Linked DNA regions of Saccharomyces cerevisiae S288C. Changing the gene in region 1 together with any one later gene gives a genetic interaction. Each region holds a gene or a part of one and is shown in the gene's direction. Other genes may lie near its edges.

Evidence for each region. Genes that interact genetically often act in the same process or in processes that back each other up.
Region 2: mutations in DSS1 (region 1) and CTL1 together harm fitness more than expected from each alone (negative genetic interaction), as found in Saccharomyces cerevisiae (2 studies listed by BioGRID).
Region 3: of DSS1 (region 1) and SUV3, extra expression of one rescues a mutant of the other (dosage rescue), as found in Saccharomyces cerevisiae (3 studies listed by BioGRID, with this or other methods).

The regions. Positions count from the first base shown.
Region 1 is NC_001145.3:839,335-849,130, reverse strand, and holds DSS1 (exoribonuclease II), read left to right. Parts: upstream 1-3,785; coding exon 3,786-6,695; downstream 6,696-9,796. Other genes in the region: aminodeoxychorismate lyase ABZ2, read right to left, coding at 1-446; U2 snRNP complex subunit HSH155, read right to left, coding at 645-3,560; mitochondrial 54S ribosomal protein uL30m MRPL33, read right to left, coding at 6,929-7,189; NGL2 (RNA exonuclease), read left to right, coding at 7,440-8,987; ATP-dependent DNA helicase YKU70, read right to left, coding at 9,136-9,796. UniProt on the Saccharomyces cerevisiae protein: Essential for mitochondrial biogenesis. Required for intron-independent turnover and processing of mitochondrial RNA. Participates in 3' mtRNA processing where it hydrolyzes single-stranded RNA or partially double-stranded RNA with 3' single-stranded tails.
Region 2 is NC_001145.3:618,488-624,819, reverse strand, and holds CTL1 (polynucleotide 5'-phosphatase), read left to right. Parts: upstream 1-1,606; coding exon 1,607-2,569; downstream 2,570-6,332. Other genes in the region: RGM1 (Rgm1p), read left to right, coding at 1-288; YMR181C (uncharacterized protein), read left to right, coding at 740-1,204; SPT21 (Spt21p), read right to left, coding at 2,686-4,962; FPY1 (flavin adenine dinucleotide pyrophosphatase), read right to left, coding at 5,517-6,332. UniProt on the Saccharomyces cerevisiae protein: Probably involved in an RNA processing event other than mRNA capping. Releases gamma-phosphate from the 5'-end of RNA to produce a diphosphate terminus.
Region 3 is NC_001148.4:493,742-501,482, forward strand, and holds SUV3 (ATP-dependent RNA helicase SUV3), read left to right. Parts: upstream 1-1,764; coding exon 1,765-3,978; downstream 3,979-7,741. Other genes in the region: TRM44 (tRNA (uracil) methyltransferase), read left to right, coding at 1-1,505; ERG10 (acetyl-CoA C-acetyltransferase), read left to right, coding at 4,355-5,551; SMA1 (Sma1p), read left to right, coding at 5,924-6,661; putative serine/threonine protein kinase SKS1, read right to left, coding at 6,934-7,741. UniProt on the Saccharomyces cerevisiae protein: Required for intron-independent turnover and processing of mitochondrial RNA. It is a key control element in nuclear-mitochondrial interactions.

The DNA.
Region 1 (9,796 bases):
TTCAATAAATCATTCAGAGACGTGCTGAAGTCAATTTTAAAGTATGATAATGCTATTCTTATTCTTTGGTATTGTTCATCTAATAAAAAAAATCGTTCATAAATGACTTGTAGCATATCTTCTACACGCTGGCACACAATGGTCTTGCAATCATGCTTCCAAGCATCAGGATGCTGAATATTTTCGAGAAGGTCACCGCCGGAATTAACCTCCCTTACTCGTAAATAACTTGAGTAATCCTCATTAATTATCTGCTGCCTAATATCTTCGTCTCTCAAACCTAATCGAGGGTCTGGAGTTTCAAAGATCTCTTTCTTTGACGCTGACTGGCGTGCAAAACCAGGGTCGTACCTGAAAGTGGCCAGAACCTCGAAGTTCGGATTAGCAACTAGGCCTCCTTCATCGTAACTTTCCATATCAGTCTTCCAATTGTCCATTAGTGACATCTATTTCTTATTATCCATGTCTCGCTCTTCATCTTTCTTTTACTCACTTTCACAAAATTTTTTCCTGCCCTTTTTTTTCCAATAGCAGGTTCTGTTTATATTTCATCATAATCTATGAAGGCATCGTGACGTGATGATATAGGTGTGTCAAGTAAAATATTCTTACAAGTTGTGGTTATTTATATGCTCTATATATATTCACAGAACTAAATCCAGTTCTTCTATATATTCTTCATTGTTGTCTGGTGTAACGGGGTAAAAAGGTACCATGGCGTCCTGGTACATTACGTACATGTTATTATACACCCTCCAAAATGCTTTCCTTACATTCTTCGCTGGATGGAACAATCCTGCCCATATGTAGTTCATGAATAGTCCAGGGCCAAGAGCTTGACTCAGTGCCTCCAAACCTTCTAAAATACGCATAATAGCATGTGGTGAAGTTTCAAAAATATTGGGTATTAGAAGATTCATTAAATGAATGAAGGCATCTTCGTGACCTGTACCTGAACAGTTTAAAGCTAAGTGGGTTATTACGTTCGACGCTGTCTGACGATGAACTAAATCCCTATCGGTGAGTGCATCTTCTAATAATGGTGTTATGAAGTATATGTAATCCTTAGACATGTTACCAATGTACTCAAACATGAATGACATGGCCTTGAGAACACCGTTTTGAACATTAGTCTCTGGTGTTGTGTATTCATTCATGATTACTGGCAGCACGTTGTAAGGACCACACACTTTAGCAACGATACCGATAGCAACAGCCGTGCATACACGTAACTGACGTTCTTGAACCTTTAAATTGTTCAATAACGCAACAAGAACATCGTGAGGTCCAATTGCTTCAGCAATGAATCCAAACGTGGCATTTGCTGATCTTCTTATTTCTTTATTTGTACTTTTCAAAAGTTCTAATAGTTCAAAACATATTCTCATCCATTCTTTAGGAGGTGCATAGGTAGGTGCTAATTTACCAATAAGTCCAACAAATTTGATAGTGTTTACTTCGACTTTTCTATGCTTGTTTCTTAAAATTGGAGTTAAGGTTGGTAAAATTTGATTAATAGGAGGTTGTAGTTTATCCAAATCCATTACGCTAGTAATACAGTACATAGCGTTGATTATAGAACCTAATACCTCTGGATATACTTCGCCTAAGGATTCATACAATATAATGTTCAATTTATTCAACATTTCGAATTCGTGACAGTTCTTGATGACTGGTATTAGTATGGCACATAGATCTGCTGCATGTTGACGAACCAAGGGAGTTTTATGCTTTAAATGATTTAAAATCGTACTCACAATGGGTGCTAAAAACGGTTTCATACGGATGTCAAGTGACACCGTCACTGCCCCAAACCCTTTAAAGATTATAGAATCACTATTTGTTTGTTCTTGAAATGCTATCAAGAGCGCATCAATAAGCCTCGTTTCTAATCTCTCATCTAAATCTGCTGTCCCTAATAAGTTTACTGTTCTAGTAACAGCATGGACAGCCATTGTTCTGAACGGCTCAGCTTCATCTCTCAATGGTGTTAATAATTTATCAATGGTATAAGAACAACCTAATTTCTTTGCTAATGTAACAGTAGTATATGTAACAACTTTGTTTAATGGTCTATCCAATGCCACTCGTCTGACCCAAAATTTTTGAAAGAATTCTGGCGCGATTTCTTCTCTCAGAAATTTTGGCGTTATGGATTCTACAGCGCTACATTTTTGTAATACTAAAAGAATGGTCTTTTTCATTTCATCATCGGGAGAGTCGAATTCACGTCTAATTATTCTCATTGCTTCTGTGGTATAATAACCGGCATACTCTGGGTCCATCAATGGGATCATAGATCCAACAGCTTTTAAAAAAGAAGATAGCACTTTACCACGATGACTTCTTATACCCTTCCATAATGGCTCCAGTACAACGTTGAAAACTTCGATACCATATGGATAAGAATTTTCTGCTAGTGTTGATAAAGTATGTGCTGTAACAATTCGCACCGGAACGTGATCATCCATTAGGCAGTCTTTGATACAACTCATCAGCCCAGTAAGATGATTCAAGACACCTATTCCCAAAAGTATACCTATTTGCTGCACAATTTTTATGCCAGTATGCCTTGCTTTCCAAGACTTCCGTGAGTGGCATGCTGCATTGATGAAAGGAAGCAATTGATTAACACCAAGGGCTTTTGCCACCACAGCCGCCGCTCTTGAAGTTACATTTCTAACATACTCATCCTCATTCTCAATATCAGGTCTCATTACTGTTAGAATGGTTTTTAGGCCAGCGACTGTAGACAGATTGGTGATTATCTCCTGGCCTGTTGAACGAACCATTGGATCTTCATCTATTAGCAATGGGGCAGCTACTACAAGTATTTTGTGAACGTAAGGTTTTGTTAAATCTCCTAGCTGGTAAAGGACGCGATCTATGGTCTTGATCATTAGATGTCTTTCCTGGTCTTCCAAACTTCTGTCTAGTAATATGGGCAATAAGCGGTTAAATATCATTTCTGGACCAAATGTAACAGCTTTATCGGTTAAAATCCGCATAGAAGTCCTCCTACTCGCTGTATTGCCATTTTTTATTTTCAGAAGTAACATCGACAGGGTTCTTTCTTTCTTTTCATCCTTATTTAACTCATCTATGGGTTTTTTGGATATAACGTCGGCGAAATATTTATGGTCAGAAGGTTTAAAAAACATCAAATCATGGATTCCTTCTACATTAACCAAAGCACTATCAGAGTTTTCTTTGACCGCTGTTGAAGATTCATCAGGTGGCTCGTACCCTTTTACATCCCAACGAGATTTTCTTTTCCTTGGCACGACAGCGTCTTGGGTATTTTCTGAAGACGTAACAGTTTGTGTATCGGAATCCGGCTCAAACTTCATATCAAACCTTCTTTTGTGGTATGAATCCTCTCGATTTTGCACTGTCCTAGTTTCCATTTTTTCCTGTAGCACATCTTTTTCGTTCTCACCAATACGTGCAGCTTCTTTCTGCAGGTTTTCCCTCAAATCCTGAGGAATAGAATATTGACCGCCTAATTGGTGGCTCTTATCGCTATTATTAGCGTTTACAAATTGAATCGGATGACTCATGATGACAGGTCCTGGCTTTCTATGTTTATTATGTATAAGTAATTGAAGAGATGTTTCAGTTCTAACTCATCGAGAAGGAGATTTCTGCTCGGGCAAATATCAATGCAAACCCGAATAAGCTTAAATACTAACAACGTGCCAAATAACAGCAATCACGTCTAAAAAGCTTTCAAGAGACGATAATTGGTTGTGCATATCTGTCAGCGGAATAAATAAAGACAGGTGATGGTAGTTAGGCGGAAAGTACATGTTCTTCTAATTGCAAGGAGCTTTCATTCCTACACACCTTGCTTCAGAGTAACTACCAGAGGCAAACGACAGCGAAGTAAGAGTAAGCAGCAAGCAAAAGTAGAACTAGATCACACACGAGAGCTAGATAATGATCAAGCTACAGAGACAGTTGTAGACCGTTCGGTTGGACCGGAGAAAGATATAGAATCAATAAACAAAGACTTTCTGCAACGAACAAAAGGATTAGAGCCTGATATTGAATTAAAACAACTGCCTCAAATTAAACAGGAATTTAACCAACGTTATAAAGATAGGTATGTTAAACCTTCCGAAGATTGGTACGTAAACTCCTGGAGGTCTTTAACAAAACCAAAAATTCCGCTTTACAAGTTAATAAATTCAGATTTTCAATTAATAACAAAACTGAAAGCTCCAAACCCAATGGAATTTCAACCTGTTCAGCTAATGGAAAGTCCCTTAAATGTTGGTGACTTTGTTCTTTTAAAAATGAGACCCAATGAATTGGCGATGTGTGTAAGTCTTCCAAGTAGCACTATGGATCCTCGATACACTTTTGTTACTATTGATGGAACTATGTGCTTTGCGACCAAAAACCGGGTGTTATTGAGGATTCCTCACAAATTACCTGCTGGAATCCATTCACTTATACAGCCTGAGAGCCATCACAAACATTTGCCAATTGGAACCGTTAAGAACTTTTCTAACCAAACGAATATTTTGCCTATTGTAGCAAGGCAGCTAATAACAAGTAGGTATCCAGCCCAAATTTCAAAGTTGGCCTGGAAAGATTTGCCCATTACTACCAAAAAATTACAGTTACTCCACAGATCATTACAAAATTATATGGGTCCATGGCAGATTCCTTTTTTTACCCTAGTCGGATTAGTTCAGAAATTGGATTTAAATAAAGCCTTGGACGATAAAAATGGAATAAATTACTTAACTAGTTTAGTTAATAACTATCACACTGTAAACGATATACCAATAAATTCACCTACCTTTGTTTCCACGTACTGGGCGATTATGCAACAACAGGAATCGAACCTTTGGGGGGAAATCCATCTGAATACAGCGTTGCTGTCGCCTATATCAGTAACGATTATTCCCTTAAAATCACAACATTTATATTATGCGCAGGTGATAGAGAAGCTAGAAGCCAACAGTTATAGAGAGGTCAATAAGTTTGTAAAATTGGTGAATGAAAGGAAATATCGCGATATATCAGCTTTATATCCTTCTGTGATCCAATTATTGAAAGATTTTGCTGCTGGGAATTTTCACAATAACGGAATTATAGTAGCTTTGATCTCAAAAATATTCAGAAAGATAGAACGCTATAAGGATTGTGACATCACAAGAGATATATGTCAAGATTTAATCAATGAGATAACACCCAACTCAATACCCAATCCATTGTTACTTAACATGGATTTAGCATTACCTGCTTCCTCGAAGTTAGTGAAATGGCAACAAAAACTCTACGACTTAACTAATATAGAAGAATTGCAATGGAAAAAATCCGGCACTGATGACGATAGGTACGATTTTGGCGATCTTAGGGTTTTTTGTATAGACTCTGAAACTGCGCATGAGATTGATGACGGCGTGTCGGTGAAAAACTATGGTAGAGATGGACTGTACACTTTATATATTCATATTGCGGATCCAACTTCTATGTTTCCGGAAAGCACTAATGTTGATATTGAGGGTATAAGTACAGATATCCTAAATGTTGCCTTGAAAAGATCATTTACCACATATTTACCAGATACGGTTGTTCCTATGTTACCTCAATCTATTTGTCACTTATCAGATTTGGGGAAACAAGGACAAAGGACGAAAACTATATCCTTCTCTGTTGATGTTAAAATCACTTCTAAATGCAGTGGAAAATCAATTGAAATTATGTATGACAGTTTTAAAATCCGGAAAGGCATTGTGTCCAACTTCCCAAAGGCCACTTATGAAGATGTTGACAGGATACTCGGTACACCCAATAGCGAAGCATCACCTGTCAAAAAGGATTTGGAAAGTTTGTCCATGATTTCCAAATTATTGAGAGAACAACGTATAAAAAACAGTAATGCTGTTATTTTCGGGGAGGGCTTTAATAAGGGCCTAGTGATGCTAAACGCCGATTCAGAAGGAGAACTGACTGAGGTAACATTTTCGGATCAAGAGGAGACGCTGTCTACCATTTTGGTTTCAGAAATGATGATCTTGGCGAATACTTTAACGGGTAGATATTTTGCGGAGAACAAAATCGGTGGTGTGTTCAGATGTTATAAACAGTTACCACTGGGCGAAGTAGCACAACAACAGTATGATTCTATGATAACAAGTACAAAAAAAGGAATTTTTCCCAAGCTAAAAGATATCGTTAAGCTTTCTTCATTGTTGAACTCGAGTTTTTATACAGGTCGACCTTTTAGACATGAAATGATTGGAGCTAAACAATATTTGACAGTAACATCCCCTCTTCGTCGTTTTCCAGACTTGATAAATCATCTACAAATTCACCGTCATTTGCAGAAAAAGCCTCTATGTTTTAATCAAACACAAATCGACAGTTTGATCTGGCCAATTCAATCTCGAGCGGATATTTTAAAAAGGGCTAGCCGTAATTCGTCGACGTACTGGACACTGAATTATTTAAAAAAGCTAACCAAACTAGAGCCAGAAAGGACTTTCGATGTAATGGTAACATCAGTACCGCAGAACGGATTTACTGGATGTGTTTTTCCAGACTTATCGTTCGCTAGAGGAACATTAAAATTGCATCCAAGTTCTATGCATTATCCGATGATTGGAGATATCGTGAAGAATTGTAAAATTTCAAAAATTGACTGTTTAGAAGGAATGTTAGAGTTGGAAAAGCTATAAAAAGGGACTCTTTTTCCAAATATAAAATTCAATAGACCATGCATAATTTTCTTCTTGTAAATATATACATACATAAAATATGAAATCGAGATAGTGTATTGATTTCTTTGTATCAAAAATTGCATAAATTACTATTAACATATGTGCCTATGCAGGAAAAAATAATACTATATACATATATAAGTCAGGAATATCAAGAAGAAAGGAAATCCAGTTGCCTTATTTTCGCTGTTTCAGTCGATGGTTCTCTTCTCCACTATAAACCCAGGGTTTGACTTTCTCAACTCTCGTTGCTGCGATGGTGTTAATTCATGTTCTGTTACTTCTACTTTGACTAACTCTTTTACTTTAGCTAGGGAGCCAGCTATGGCCGGGTTTACTTTTTTGTAGACTATGGACCCTCTTTTACCTAAACCCAAACTTTTGACAATGCTCTTCGTTGTGTGTGGCACACCGATAAGCGACCTACTCAACGTGACTTTGTAAAACACCATTCCTGATATCTGCTTTCAACGTGTTTTAGCTGGTCCATCAATATTGATTCCATCACCTAACTTTTGGGATGATATACTTTATCCTTAATATCTAGAAAAGCTCTTCGAGAGATATTTCGTGCAGAAAGACCATTCATTTTTCAAAAAATGGTTGCACTAAAGCAAGAGGAAAGGAAAAGTAGTGTTGCAAGAAGATGAGATTGTAGTCTCCTTATAGCTTCTTAATTGTAGTTAAGAGTATTAAGTAAATATGACACAAGACAAAGAAGTCAAAGTGGTTGCCCCAGATGTTGCGCCCGACCAAGAAGTAGAAATTAATAAATCTGTAAAAGATGCAAAACATCAAACCAATGATGATTCGTTACTTCAACATAAAAAGAAGGGCAAGAAAGGTAAAAAATCGAAGCCCATAGTGACCCCAGAACATATCGCTAAGGTTCGTGCCGAAAGGGAAGTTATGAGAAAGGCTAAAAGAGATGCAATGTTGGCTCAAGGTGTTGATCCGGACTGCCCGCCAGAGCTGCATTTTATCAGAAGACCTTTCCTATCTCTACATGAGGCAGAGCCAGTAACTGGATTTAGATTCAAGCTAATGACTTATAATTGCTTGGCGCAAGCTCTAATCCGCAGAAAGCTGTTCCCGGATAGTGGTGACGCTTTAAAATGGTACAGGCGTTCTAAAGTTCTCTTAAACGAGTTTAAATATTATAATTCCGATGTCATTTGTTTGCAAGAGATTGATCATATTCAGTTTCAAAGCTTTTGGAAAGATGAATTCAGTAAATTGGGATACGATGGACAATATTATAGAAATGCTACAAAAAACCATGGTGTCGCGATAATGTGGAGGAGAGAATTATTTCACCAGGTTGACAAAATGCTAATCGACTATGATAAAGAAAGTTCAGAAAGCATTTCCACTAGAACAACGACAAACAACGTGGGATTAGTCTTAGCCTTGAAGTTTTCTGAGAAAGTACTGTCGAATTTGGGTAAAAAATCGTCTAAAAAATGCGGTATCTTGATCGGCACTACGCATCTATTTTGGCATCCATTTGGTACTTATGAACGAACAAGACAATGCTATATTGTTTTAAAAAAGATGAAGGAATTCATGCATCGTGTGAATGTTTTACAGAACGAAAATGATGGGGATTTATCTCATTGGTTTCCTTTTTTCTGTGGTGATTTTAATTCCCAGCCGTTCGACACACCATATTTATCTATGACATCCAAACCAGTGCACTATAGAAACAGGGCAAAGACCGTCATTGGGTGCAGCACTTCATATAAGTTTTCCAAGGTCCGTGATGGCGAAGAAGGTGCAGATGACGAAGAAGGCGGGAATATTGAAAAATATGGTAAAGATCAACCTGAGAGCCCCGTTCCTGAAAAATTTCATGCTAATGAAGAACAGTCTGAACTCGTAGATAAAATGGCACAACTCCATAACTCATTGGATATGAGGGCTATTTCACTATACTCTGTTGGGTATAAGAATGTTCATCCAGAAAATGCAGGTCTTGATAATGATAGAGGTGAGCCTGAAATTTCAAATTGGGCAAACACTTGGCGTGGTTTATTAGACTATCTATTTTATGTAAAGAAATGGGACCCACAAAGTAATTGTCAGGAAGTGGAAACCCTTGGCGATTTTGAAAAAGAAAATAAAGTTAAATGCAGAGGTTTTTTGAGAATGCCGCCCGGTAATGAAATGACAAAGCATGGACAACCACATGTTGGAGAATATGCAAGTGATCATTTGTCTATGGTGTGTGATTTAGAGTTACAACTATAGATTACTGTCGTGCATAAATATCTTGCTAATAGTTGTACAGTACAACGTTTAGCACGACAAAAGTTCTTAATAATAAATATTACATCAAATACCCTACCCTACCAAATATTGTATGTAACGTTATAGATATGAAGGATTTCAATCGTCTTTATATATTGAATTTCGGCTTTTTATCAAAGGGCTTCTTTTCTTCTTTTATCGAAATGTTATCATCGTTAAATTTTTTGTAGAACATATTCCAGATTTTAACATATTTATTTAGCCTTTGGATGATTGGATCTTCTGACTTCTCAGATTCTAAAATTTTATTTCGTATATAATATAGTTTCCTTAAAGAATCGTCCTCACGCATCATTCTGTCTTTTTTAGTATTAGGTGTCTCATTTTCGTCAAAAGTGGTTTCAATTTGCAACAGGTAATCATGTAAAACTTTGTAATGTTTTTGTAATAGTGGGTTTTTGAAATCGGATGGGTTATATCCATCCCTCAAGTTAAAGTATCCCATTATACTTTGAGTTACTTTTTTCATGTTATCATAATCTAGTTTATGTTCAGAGCCATCATCATAGGATAGTAAACTAGGAAATTTTCGAATTTCGTCTAGGAATGGAACCCTGTAGAGATAAAATCCTTCGTTGTAGTCCTTCACGCTTGAGGGTGATAACGTATATAGTGAAGGATGTGAATTTGATTTAAGCTTCCCCCATAATATTGCAATTTTATCTTTTTTTCTCAAAATTTTTAATAAAGAAGCCAAGGTTCTTATCGAACCTTCATATTTTGCTTCATCTGGTACGATAAACGAACTT
Region 2 (6,332 bases), 220 kb from region 1:
CCATACAATCTGCCCATATCAACTCCTGCTAGCCCACAAGACACTATATCTCTTTACGCACCACCATACTTCCCTCATCCTATGCCATCTGCTCCCATACCATTGCCGCATCAGCCTCCTCCACTACCAATATACAGCTATATGCAACCACTCTTCCTGAACCACACTCCCATACAAAACCACAACATTGTAGAGCTCCCTCCAGATAGCAGTGACACTCCAGCATCGCCGTCTAAGGTGCAAAGTTTTGACCAGGCCAAGGACGCTTCACCAAACGCAAAAAAATAAGCTCTACCGCACCCACTCCTCCATTTCACAAGCCGCATCATTGCTGCTATTGTACCCTCTTGGCCATTCGCGTGCGCGTTGATTGCCGTTATTATGCAGATATTTTGATATCGCTTGCCGTTTGGCTCATCTCCGCGCCCTTAAAATATATCCGCTTCTGTTGGGAAATGCCGAGCATAAAAATGCCGAAAATATAAAAAGAACAAGAACAATACCCTTCGAGGGAAACGCTATTTTCCTGTCCACACAACCTTAATTAATTCGCACGTCTGTGCCACCAAGTAGCAACTGGTTCGTATTGCTTTATCTTTCTTGCTTGTTATTACATTGCTGTAAGATAACAAGCAGCGTTTTACTCTACGGATTGTTTATAAGGATTTTGTTCCTCGACCCCTTATATTTACTCACCTTCCCCCTACTCTAATTCTCCTGATTTCAGAACAAAAAAAAAATGACTCCACTTTTGCAGGCGGAAGCAAAAATGAACACAAGCCTCTACCTTACGGAAAGCATCCAACAACATGAATTCAACCTCACCAGCCCTCAGTCATTCTATTCTTCTCCCTCGGTACCCAATAGTAAAAATAACTCGGGCATTTTCAGCTATAACACTGCCAACAACAGTAGGGTGAGTTCTAGTGATGAATTCACTACCCAACAAGACGGCATGAACACCATAATGTACAAAAACAACATCAGTAAAACTTTCGAAGACGACATCTTTTATTGTCCAAGAAGTTTGCTCACCCCAGAAGAACAAGTGGTATACCAGGAAATTGACAAGTATTACATGGAACAAGCACTATTGACCCAGTTACAAATCTCCCAAACGTATTCCTCCACTCCTAAAGAGGAAAAGATAGTTAAGTTCAATCCCTACACTTCGAAGAGTTTCAGTCCAGCTTCTTCTGAATAACTAACGAGAACACGTTCACTACAGACATGGGGCTTCTTTTCCTTTTTTCATTTTCTTTCTCTTATTATTCTGGGTATTTCTTATTAATCGGTTGAACTATGTATTACGTCGAAATTTCTTTAATATTTCTTTGTATTCTTCACGACGAATTGTTCATTTCATTTTACTCCATTTTTTCAGTATTCCTGGGGCTACAGGTATATGTGGCAAAAAATTTTTTTTCTATTATTTGACGGGATCTCCTATATATTTTATACACTTTTACAGGAAAAAAACTTATTAGTTTTCAATATTTTCTTTATTTTTTTTTCCTTAAGACAACTTTGTTGACTACCAGCAAAATGGGAAAGAAAAAAAAAGCACTGAAAAGGAAAAATGAAAACACTATAGGAAGTTTAAGATATGTCTGACCAACCCGAGACTCCTTCCAATAGTAGAAATTCTCATGAAAATGTTGGCGCAAAGAAAGCTGACGCTAATGTTGCCTCGAAATTCAGAAGCTTGCATATCTCTGAAACCACTAAGCCATTAACATCAACTAGAGCTTTATACAAAACCACAAGAAACAATTCAAGAGGTGCGACAGAATTCCATAAACATGTTTGTAAGTTAGCATGGAAATATCTTGCTTGTATTGATAAATCGTCGATATCACACATTGAAATCGAAATGAAATTTGGTGTTATAACAGACAAAAGGACACATCGCAGGATGACACCACACAACAAGCCCTTTATTGTTCAAAACAGAAATGGCCGCTTAGTGTCTAACGTTCCTGAGCAAATGTTCTCGAGTTTCCAGGAGCTACTCCGCTCAAAATCGGAGAATCCAAGTAAATGTGCCCCAAGAGTAGTAAAACAGGTACAAAAGTATACGAAAGATTCTATATATAACTGCAACAATGCCTCGAAAGTTGGCAAATTAACTTCATGGCGTTGTTCGGAAGACCTTAGAAACAAAGAACTTAAACTTACTTACATCAAAAAGGTCCGGGTCAAGGATTTTCTCATTCGCTATCCTCAAAGTTCATTAGACGCTAAAATTAGCATCAGCCTTGAAGTGCCTGAATACGAAACTTCTGCCGCTTTCAGGAATGGCTTTATTTTACAAAGAACCAAAAGCCGTTCCACCTACACCTTTAATGATAAAATGCCTTTACACTTGGATTTGACAAAGGTTACTACCACGCGAAGGAACTCCCATCAATACACGTCCCATGAAGTGGAGGTAGAAATGGATCCTATATTCAAGGAGACAATTTCCGCTAATGATAGGGAGAAGTTTAATGAGTATATGTGCTCGTTTTTGAATGCCAGCGACCTTATACGTAAGGCTGCAGAACGCGATAACATGTTAACGACATGAAAATGCTAATTAAATACTTCTTTTTGTTCTCTATAAGGTGCTACATGTATGATCTGAGTATATATATATATATATATATATACATGCTGTGCTAGGAATAAGTTCATGTAATATTTTCAGTGTTTTATTGACTGAAATTCACCGATGGGACTTGTTACTACCTGACTTACTCTTATTCCTGAATGGATGAATGTTGAGAATAAATCGTTGGTCTTATCGCTTTCATTATCATCGCCGATATTGTGTCCTTGCTCTTCTTCAACTATGTCCTCAGATAATTCCATGGGTTGATGATAATTGAACATCCCACATGGTGAAGACGGTATTGCCTTTTGCTTTTTGAGGGCTTCCTCCTCTTCCTCTTCATCCAAAACTTCTTCATGAGATCTCTTACTTTGCTGAGTTTCCAGCATGCTAGTAAGCTTTTTCGAAGCTGTAACATTATTATCAGAAGCTGGCTGGTCAGCTGGAGTAGAGAAATTTATAAGCCCTGCCTGAGGTTTTGTATTGTCCGAATCTATTACAGATGCCTTTCTATCTTTTATATCATTATCACATGGGGTGGCATTATTACTATCTGTTATATTTAGTGTCGATCCTTCTTTAATGGATATACGCTGCATGTTTGTTGTCGAGCTTGAATGTGTAAGTTCAATTAAAGGTATAGACAACGAGTCTATTGGGGAGGTTTTGTCAACATCGCTAGGCAAAGATATTTTATTATTTTGCGCTGTTTCCAATTCACTGACATCTTCATTTTCGAGAGCAATGGTGTTACAGGTGTTTGGATCGTTGAGTGTTATAGAAGGCTTCAAATTTTGCTGATTGAGTTGTGATGCACTTGCAGAAGTTGGTGATTCAAAAAAATTGCAATTGAAATTGGAAAACCATCCCATCTCATCTTTAAATACTACATCCGAAAAGTCACTCATGGGGAACTCAGCGTTAAAATCCAAGTCACCTTCAAGCTTGTTCTCTTTACTAGTTATGCTTTGGGGTGGAATATTTTCTTTATCATTTTCACTAGTTAAAGATATCTTACGCCCCTTTTGTTTTTGCTGCAATTTCTGCCCTTCAATGCCTGGTTCCGATAGAATGTCACTTAAAATTGAATCGTCATGATCATTTAAATGTTCTATCACTGATGATCGCCTACATCCTGCTTGTGTAGACTTAGCCGAATTTTTGGAATTCGAATTCTTAACTTTGACAATCGTTTGCTTATCATTTGCTTTTTTTTCACCACTAGTCTTCGGCGGTTGCTTTGGATTTATGTTTATTGAAGCTGGTTTTTTTGCTATCGTTGCTATACCAGGTGACACTTTTTTCGTAGACTTTCTTTTGTTGAGCATAAAATCGAACCTCTTGCTTACCGAATCATCGATCTTGGTCCTCTGAATAGTATTATCGTTTTGCAAAGTATTTATTTCGTAAGCTATGTTTTGATGCTGGTTGTTTTGTTGATTGGCTTCTGTTTTTCTATCTGCTAAGTAGATTTTGTGCGCAATTGAATTTCTTGGGAAACCAGTATTCGCTATATTTGGTTTAAGATTCCAGATGGGTAAAGACTGAGTTCTGACAGCTTTTGGAGCAGGCATAGGATTCGTCTGTCTTCTTCCCACAGTCCCGCTATTAGTATTATTTATTGTTATCGTGGTCCTTGCATTCCTTGAATTTTTTATTTGGTTTGTCTTGAAAAGAGATTGCGATTTTGGGGTAAACGGAAGTGTTGCTGATGGTAAAGAAGACGGCATTTGAAGACACGATATCCGAGAATTTGTAGTATTGTTACCAGACGTCCTTAAATTGGTTATAACTTTTGTGAATCTTAGTTTAACCTCCAAAGTTTCTTCCGGAATTTGGTTGTTTACGACCCTTCCCTTTTTATTCGAGATGTTGCTATATGATCTTCGTAGTAAAGCGGAAACATTCGAGCATACCCTTCCAGTAACTATAAAAGATTCATCTTCATACTCTTCTTCAGTTACCTCATCTCTCTCTTCACTTTCTTCTTCACCAATATTGTTTTCTGTATACTGGTAGGGGCTATTCTTATGAAACTTTTTTCGAAGCCCGGAAAGAAGACCAAGGCTTACTAATGGCTCATCCACTTCACATATGTCACGATAATACAAGTTATAATCATATCCATCTTTTAAAGTGTCATGGTCTAACACTTCAGGTGAATTTAAGTATATTTCATGCAGTATAGTCTTCAAATGGATGGCGCCAATTCGCAACTCCGTTTGCTCATTCGAATCTGTCGGGAATGGACTAGGAATATTAGCAACTCTTACCTGTTTTGGAGCCCTTGAGCGGGCTAAATAACTACCATTGGATCCATTATCCAATGTGTAAAGGATCTTCAATGTCATTTGAGAGAGTTCAGACATTTTACCAGAGTCTTTTGTTCAAGTGAATACCAATTCCAATCCAGGTTTCAGTTGCACCTGGTCAAATTGACTTCAGTTATGTGTGTTGACTAGGTTCAGCTTAAGCGTTGCTTATAAAAGAAGAGATGTAGTAAAGCAACAAACTCACCACGGCTCAGTGCAATTCCCAAGAACCGAACTCTCCATTCAATGGGTCTTTCTCTTCACACACACCTTTTTTCTAACGCGACGCGTTTTTTTTACCTTTTTTATATCACGAAAAAAAACGCGACCGTAAATGAAGGTTTTTCCTTTCATGGAGCAGTTGTATCTATTGAATGAATTATATACCTTTTGCTGGTTTGGTCCTTTCGGATATGCATTTTTCAAATGTTTACTTTAGCGATTGAAGCTCTAACAGTAGCAATGTGATCTTTAATTTTTCAAGGTACCTTTCTACCACGAGCAGTGTACTTTTTTGTTGAGAAGAAAGCGCAACTACCGGCGATGACTGAGATGACTTTGCTCCCAAAAAAAAAATCTATATCTATACATAGTTCTAAATACTCGGGTATTCAGCTCTCCTGGTTCGAGAACTTGTTTTCAAGTTCAGAAGAAATTACTTCTCCCTCGAGGTTATTAACAACTCTATTGACAATACTCTTCAGATATGAATCGTCTTTCTTTTCACCCAAAATACTAACTGTATTGAATCCCATACCAAAATGTGGGTATGAGCCTATTTTAATGGCTTCTGAAACTTTTGTTGATTCATCCTGAATCAACTTTAGCTCTTTAGAAATTTGAGACTCAGTTAGGTGTGTTCTGACAAAATAACGAACATACTCACGTGGATCCTTGTCCAAATTATATATTTTTTTCAACGTGGGAGTGAACGCTTTCAGCATCCTTGCAAATAGTTGAGGGATACCGGGTAGTATATACATTTTGTGAGATATAGAACAAATAGGTACCCACAAGTCATCACACACATAATAATTTTTGACGTTTGTGCCTTTTGGCATGGTTGCCATTTGGTAATGCGCCTTTAGAGCATCTGCATCAAGCCTTGCTTCAGGGTCAGATTTATGCCTCATTCGTTCTTTGCATTCTTCATCTAGTTCACAAGGCAAATTAAAGCTTTTCGCCATACATTCGTAAGTGATGTCGTCATGAGTGGGGCCGATTCCACCTGTACTGATGATAAAATCATAATTTTTGACTAATCTTCTCACAGTATCTACGATCTGGGTTTCATCATCCCCTATAGTTGCAATTTCTTTTAATTGAATTCCATGATCAAAGCAATACTTCGCAAAAAAAGTGGAATTTGTATCAACTACTTTTCCATTCAGCACTTCATCACCAATTATGATACAAGCTGCAGTTAC
Region 3 (7,741 bases), on another chromosome or scaffold:
CTACTGTCATATTAAGAGCGGATATTTTGAAAGAGATCAATCATGCTGCAGAAGCTGGGTCTGAGCCAAAATTTGACGAGTCCGTATTAAAAAAGTTTGAGATCGATAATGGTAATGAAAGCGGTGAAGAAGATGTCAAGAAGATAAATATTGAAGATTTAAACATAAGGTCGTGTGAAACATCTGAGAGTTTAAAATTGTCACCCGTTCATGAATTTGTAAGAAGGATCATTCCTAGGAATTTTTACAAAGATGCTATCATAAACCAAACATGTTTAATCCTAAATAGCAAAGACCCTAATTTTCAGGAGACCTCATTGATTGTATATACGCCGCACATTAACTCTGAGAAAGACTGTCCGTTTTATATTCCAAGAACGCAAAGTGTAGGCATTTTGTTACACCAGTCAGTTCTTTCTGTACACTACATTCCCTTCCCCGAGGATAAAACTGCCTTTACAGATGAATCTGAGCGTGTTGTAAGAACCGCTTATAGGTTATTACAAACTGCTAACAAACACTCAAAGGGTGTGATGCAGGGTTATGAAAAGAGGGTCAATCACGATCAAGTGGTAAATAAAGTCAATTTTCAGAACACATACATTGTTTTGAAGAAAAAATACTCCAAGTTCCTGGTGGAGAATTGGGCAGAGTCTACAGACCCAAAAAAACATGTTTTTGAAGACATAGCCATTGCCGCTTTCCTGATTGAATTATGGATTAAAGTGTACGGTCCAGACTTCCGTTCAAAAATGCAATTTAGAGATTTGGGATGCGGCAATGGTGCTCTTTGTTATATTTTACTGAGTGAAAGTATTAAAGGTCTCGGCATAGATGCAAGGAAGCGCAAATCGTGGTCTATCTACCCGCCTGAAGTGCAATCATCGTTAAAGGAGCAAGTTATAATACCTTCTATCCTTTTAAGACCCCATCCTGCTTTGAAAAGACAAGTACCTCATTTGGAACACAATGGGAGATTTTTCCCAGTCAAGGTGACGCACGAAGTGATTGCCCCCGCAACCGTCGTGTATTCAAGTGAGGACTTACTAAAATCTCCGCAGGTCAATACAGCAGAGTTCCCACCAGATACTTTTATTATAGGTAACCACTCAGATGAGTTGACTTGCTGGATCCCATTACTAGGTCATCCTTATATGGTTATACCTTGTTGCTCTCATAATTTTTCTGGCCAGAGAGTTCGTTTTAACGTAAGGAAACGTTCGCCTAGGTCAAATGAAATCAAAAACCAGAATAACAGTAAGAGCACCTACTCTGGTTTGGTTGATCACGTTGAATATATTTCATCTCGTGTAGGCTGGAAAGTAGAGAAAGAGATGTTAAGGATACCAAGCACAAGAAATGCAGCCATCATAGGTGTAGAAAATGCAACCTTAAAGCATTTTCCAACGCAAGCAGTGTACGATATGATTTGGGAAGACGGTGGAGCTGAAGGGTGGATTCAGAACACAATGTCCTTATTGAAAAGAAACCCAAGAAACCATTAAATAGATGTATCATCTATTATTTGTATGTGCGTTCATTTATAGACTAATTAGAATATCATACGTACATATAAGACTATACAATTTATCTAATTTTTTCATTTTTACTTAAAAATTGATGGTCCATCGTAAACAGCGTTAATAATTTCTTCGCCCGATGCATAGACAATGAGAAGCCAAAATGCAGAAACTTGATACTTTCAAAGAAAGAGGTTCAACTATGAAAAGAAAGAAGATTTAAGTGCCGATAGAGTATACTAGCATGGCACTTGTCAAATACAGCACAGTTTTTTTTCCACTCCGATCATTGCGACTGTTTGTGTCCATCAAGAAAGCATATTACCACAGCGAGCCGCATAGCATCGATCTATTTCATGATAAGGATTGGATTGTGAAAAGACCTAAATTCCTAAATTTACCCAAAAATGAACATTCAAAATTAGATATATTCCAGTTTAATTTTAACAAGTCCGAAAGCAATAATGTGTATTTACAGGATTCATCATTTAAAGATAACCTTGATAAAGCGATGCAATTTATCTATAACGATAAATTGTCATCCTTGGATGCCAAGCAAGTACCAATAAAGAATCTTGCTTGGTTGAAATTAAGAGATTACATATATCAACAACTAAAAGATCCGAAACTGCAAGCCAAAACCTATGTACCTTCGGTAAGTGAGATCATACATCCTTCATCTCCTGGCAATTTGATTTCGTTGCTGATAAATTGCAATAAAATCAGCAATTTAGTCTGGAAATCTGTTCTCAAATATAGCCTGAGTAACAATATAACTACATTGGATAAATTTATCCACGTCCTGCAACAGACCTTCGACCATGTGTACGAGCAGGAGATACTACCCATGATGACGAATACAGATGATACAGATGGCGCTCACAACGTTGACATAACAAATCCAGCAGAGTGGTTTCCGGAGGCAAGAAAGATTAGAAGACATATAATCATGCACATTGGGCCCACGAATTCAGGCAAAACTTATAGAGCGTTACAGAAATTGAAATCCGTGGACCGTGGGTACTACGCAGGGCCGTTAAGACTGCTAGCAAGGGAAGTGTACGATAGATTTCATGCAGAAAAGATAAGATGCAATTTACTGACTGGAGAGGAAGTTATTCGTGATTTGGATGATAGAGGAAATTCAGCAGGGCTGACATCAGGCACAGTAGAAATGGTGCCAATAAATCAAAAATTTGACGTTGTTGTTCTTGATGAAATTCAAATGATGTCTGATGGGGATCGTGGCTGGGCTTGGACGAACGCGCTTTTAGGTGTCGTTTCCAAGGAGGTCCATCTTTGTGGTGAAAAGAGTGTTCTACCTTTGGTTAAGAGCATTGTTAAAATGACTGGCGATAAATTAACGATTAATGAATATGAGAGGTTAGGAAAGTTAAGTGTTGAAGAAAAACCTATCAAAGATGGCATCAAAGGTTTGCGCAAAGGAGATTGCGTCGTTGCGTTTTCAAAGAAGAAAATATTGGATCTCAAGCTAAAGATAGAGAAAGACACCAATTTGAAAGTTGCTGTAATTTATGGCTCTTTGCCGCCTGAAACACGTGTTCAACAAGCCGCCCTATTCAACAATGGAGAGTATGACATAATGGTAGCATCAGACGCTATTGGTATGGGTTTAAACCTGTCTATTGACAGAGTTGTATTCACGACAAATATGAAATATAATGGTGAAGAACTAATGGAAATGACTTCTTCTCAAATCAAACAAATAGGTGGTCGTGCGGGAAGGTTCAAATCTAGATCTGCCTCCGGGGGTGTTCCTCAGGGTTTTATCACCAGTTTCGAATCAAAAGTTTTGAAAAGTGTAAGAAAAGCTATTGAAGCACCTGTGGAGTATTTAAAAACTGCGGTTACATGGCCTACAGATGAAATATGTGCTCAACTAATGACACAATTCCCACCAGGAACGCCGACCAGTGTCCTGCTGCAGACTATTTCAGATGAGCTAGAGAAAAGTTCTGACAACCTGTTCACGTTATCTGATTTAAAGAGCAAACTGAAAGTTATTGGCTTATTCGAGCACATGGAAGATATCCCATTTTTCGACAAGCTGAAACTAAGCAATGCGCCCGTGAAGGACATGCCTATGGTCACAAAGGCGTTCACCAAATTTTGCGAAACAATAGCAAAAAGGCATACAAGAGGCCTACTGTCATACCGATTACCTTTTAACCTACTGGACTACAATTGCATACCGAATGAGAGTTATTCATTAGAGGTTTATGAGTCATTGTACAACATCATTACTCTATACTTCTGGCTCAGCAACAGGTACCCAAACTACTTCATTGACATGGAATCTGCTAAAGATTTGAAGTATTTCTGTGAGATGATTATTTTCGAGAAACTTGATCGATTAAAGAAGAATCCTTACGCACATAAGCCCTTTGGTTCTACAAGAGGTCACCTCTCATCTTCGAGAAGAAGATTGCGTACATAATCTACGATATATCCTGTAAATAGAAACAGCTACACTGCTTGAAAGCCTTAACATGATACATTTCTGGTATGATGCCATTGTTGTGCCCTGCCGGGTTTATCGTTTCCTAACAGGCACGTCACTTATAACGAGGTGCCTGTCGTTTACCGCCCAAGCCGGTTTTTTCGCTGGAGAGTACGGTACTACTAGCCCACCACACGTTCGTGGCCAGGTTGATAGGCCACCGTTGAGCAAAGGGCAGTAAAATATATAAAAGAGGAACAAGCGCTTCCATTAAGAGCACTGCTAAGCCTACTCGTTTTCTAGTTCTCTGAAAAAAGGTAGCCTAAAACAAGCGCCATATCATATATATTTATACAGATTAGACGTACTCAAAATGTCTCAGAACGTTTACATTGTATCGACTGCCAGAACCCCAATTGGTTCATTCCAGGGTTCTCTATCCTCCAAGACAGCAGTGGAATTGGGTGCTGTTGCTTTAAAAGGCGCCTTGGCTAAGGTTCCAGAATTGGATGCATCCAAGGATTTTGACGAAATTATTTTTGGTAACGTTCTTTCTGCCAATTTGGGCCAAGCTCCGGCCAGACAAGTTGCTTTGGCTGCCGGTTTGAGTAATCATATCGTTGCAAGCACAGTTAACAAGGTCTGTGCATCCGCTATGAAGGCAATCATTTTGGGTGCTCAATCCATCAAATGTGGTAATGCTGATGTTGTCGTAGCTGGTGGTTGTGAATCTATGACTAACGCACCATACTACATGCCAGCAGCCCGTGCGGGTGCCAAATTTGGCCAAACTGTTCTTGTTGATGGTGTCGAAAGAGATGGGTTGAACGATGCGTACGATGGTCTAGCCATGGGTGTACACGCAGAAAAGTGTGCCCGTGATTGGGATATTACTAGAGAACAACAAGACAATTTTGCCATCGAATCCTACCAAAAATCTCAAAAATCTCAAAAGGAAGGTAAATTCGACAATGAAATTGTACCTGTTACCATTAAGGGATTTAGAGGTAAGCCTGATACTCAAGTCACGAAGGACGAGGAACCTGCTAGATTACACGTTGAAAAATTGAGATCTGCAAGGACTGTTTTCCAAAAAGAAAACGGTACTGTTACTGCCGCTAACGCTTCTCCAATCAACGATGGTGCTGCAGCCGTCATCTTGGTTTCCGAAAAAGTTTTGAAGGAAAAGAATTTGAAGCCTTTGGCTATTATCAAAGGTTGGGGTGAGGCCGCTCATCAACCAGCTGATTTTACATGGGCTCCATCTCTTGCAGTTCCAAAGGCTTTGAAACATGCTGGCATCGAAGACATCAATTCTGTTGATTACTTTGAATTCAATGAAGCCTTTTCGGTTGTCGGTTTGGTGAACACTAAGATTTTGAAGCTAGACCCATCTAAGGTTAATGTATATGGTGGTGCTGTTGCTCTAGGTCACCCATTGGGTTGTTCTGGTGCTAGAGTGGTTGTTACACTGCTATCCATCTTACAGCAAGAAGGAGGTAAGATCGGTGTTGCCGCCATTTGTAATGGTGGTGGTGGTGCTTCCTCTATTGTCATTGAAAAGATATGATTACGTTCTGCGATTTTCTCATGATCTTTTTCATAAAATACATAAATATATAAATGGCTTTATGTATAACAGGCATAATTTAAAGTTTTATTTGCGATTCATCGTTTTTCAGGTACTCAAACGCTGAGGTGTGCCTTTTGACTTACTTTTCCGCCTTGGCAAGCTGGCCGGGTGATACTTGCACAAGTTCCACTAATTACTGACATTTGTGGTATTAACTCGTTTGACTGCTCTACAATTGTAGGATGTTAATCAATGTCTTGGCTGCCTTCATTCTCTTCAGGCTCTATTAATTTTAACCGTTATAAGTTCCTTTTCTCCCTTGGAAGCAAACATCAACTGCCTTAAAATCTGGTGGCGAGGAAAGAGGAAATGGCATGTACTAATGATGGTCCTAATAAATATCCCGAAATTGTGAGTGTTAAGCACCTGTTCCAACATTCGGGATCCAAGCATGAATTTAGTGCTGGTAAACGATTTTCAAAATCCATTGGTAAAATATTCAAACGAAACTCTGCTTTGAAAACTTCTAGAACTGAAACGGCAAATCATAAAATGGAATTGAAAAAAAGAGAGGGTGTTACCTTATTGCCACCTGTCCCAGAATCATTATTACATAAACTCAATTCTTGGTTGGAAACTTTTTCTTCCACCAAGAACATGAAAATCGAAGAAAACAAAATTGTTATTAATGAAAAAGAGATTCGGGATTCAGTCTCTTACTACCCTGATAAGAATGGAGGAAGTGCTGTATTTTGTTACTTGCCCGACCTTGTGCTATATTATAAGCCGCCTATAAAAGTCACAGGCAAGCAATGTCCAATAAAGAGAAGTCCTTGGGAATCGATGGAAATCCAATATCAAAAGTTTATGTACCCCTTAGAAAGGTTGGAAAGACAGTTTGAGGAAGTTCCATTTAGGCCCTGGTATTTTGCAATGCGATTAAAGGAACTTTACAGATGCTGTGAAAGGTCTTTTACTAACGCGGCAAATAGAGGAAAGGCAAGGTTATTGCGGGGGAAGCAAAGGACGAAAAAATCGTATCATAAGACTGTCAACCTGGTATCAGCGAAGATTTCCACCCATTCAAATGCGCCGTCGCCGGGCTGAGAAACAAAAAAAGTGACTAAGTTCTGTCATTCTATCATTATTGTAATTAGTTATGTAGGACATATATATCCATAGTGATCTCCTTTTGATCAAAGAAGACACTGAAAAGTCGTAAGTTCGTAAAAAAAGTATGAAAATCGTTCCAGCCATTGCTTATAGCCATCCTAGTAGGATACTAGAAAAAAAACAAACCTCAAAGATAAAAAGAAAAGGTGAAGCTATTACCGAATTAGAACATAAGATAATACAGTGAGTATAAAGGTGAGACCTGCTCAATAATCTGGTAACCATTTCTCGTTTGGACCGTCTGTTAAAGTAGAAAAATTCATTTGTAAGCATAATAGCCTATTTCTTAATGTATCTTGTTGGAATTTGCAATCTTTGGAAGCACTAACGTCATCGATATCAGATTGGTAAGGTGTACTGTCCATTGAGGAAGTTAAAAAGGTACTATTATTGTGGTTGTTAGTGTATTCATACTTTTCCATACTTCCGTCACTATTATACGTTGATGGAATATCACTCTCCGGTTCAGCATCTTCCTCTTCTTGCTGCTGTTGTGCTTGTTCCTGGTTTTGTATTTGTTCTTGTTTTTGTTCCTGTTCTTGTTCTTGGACTTGCTGTTGTTGTTGTTGCTGTTGTTGTTGTTGTTCTTGGTCTGCAGAAAAATGTGATAAATCGCTCAAAAATAGGTTTTCATTCCTTATAATATGCGTCATGTAAACTTCGCTCGATAGGATTGGAACTTGAGACAAGGGCCCTTCCCTGGTGAAAGAAGTAAGAGAGGAAACTTCGGACATCAAAGTTTTCATGTCTATTCTTGTGTATGGATTTAGTTGTAGAATTTTCGTCAACACTGTGAACAGCTCATCTGATATAGGAAGGATTTTCTTCAGGACATTATTATCGTTAGCAAAATGTTGAAATGTGTTATCCTCCTTCTGGTGAGCTTTTAACCATGGGTTTCTTATGCAAGTTAAATTAATTAGGATGATGCCTAGAGACCATATATCTCCTGTATCCGTAGGGAGGCTCGAACAGCATTCGTCGACGTGTATGCCGTTGGTGGTGGTATTCAAA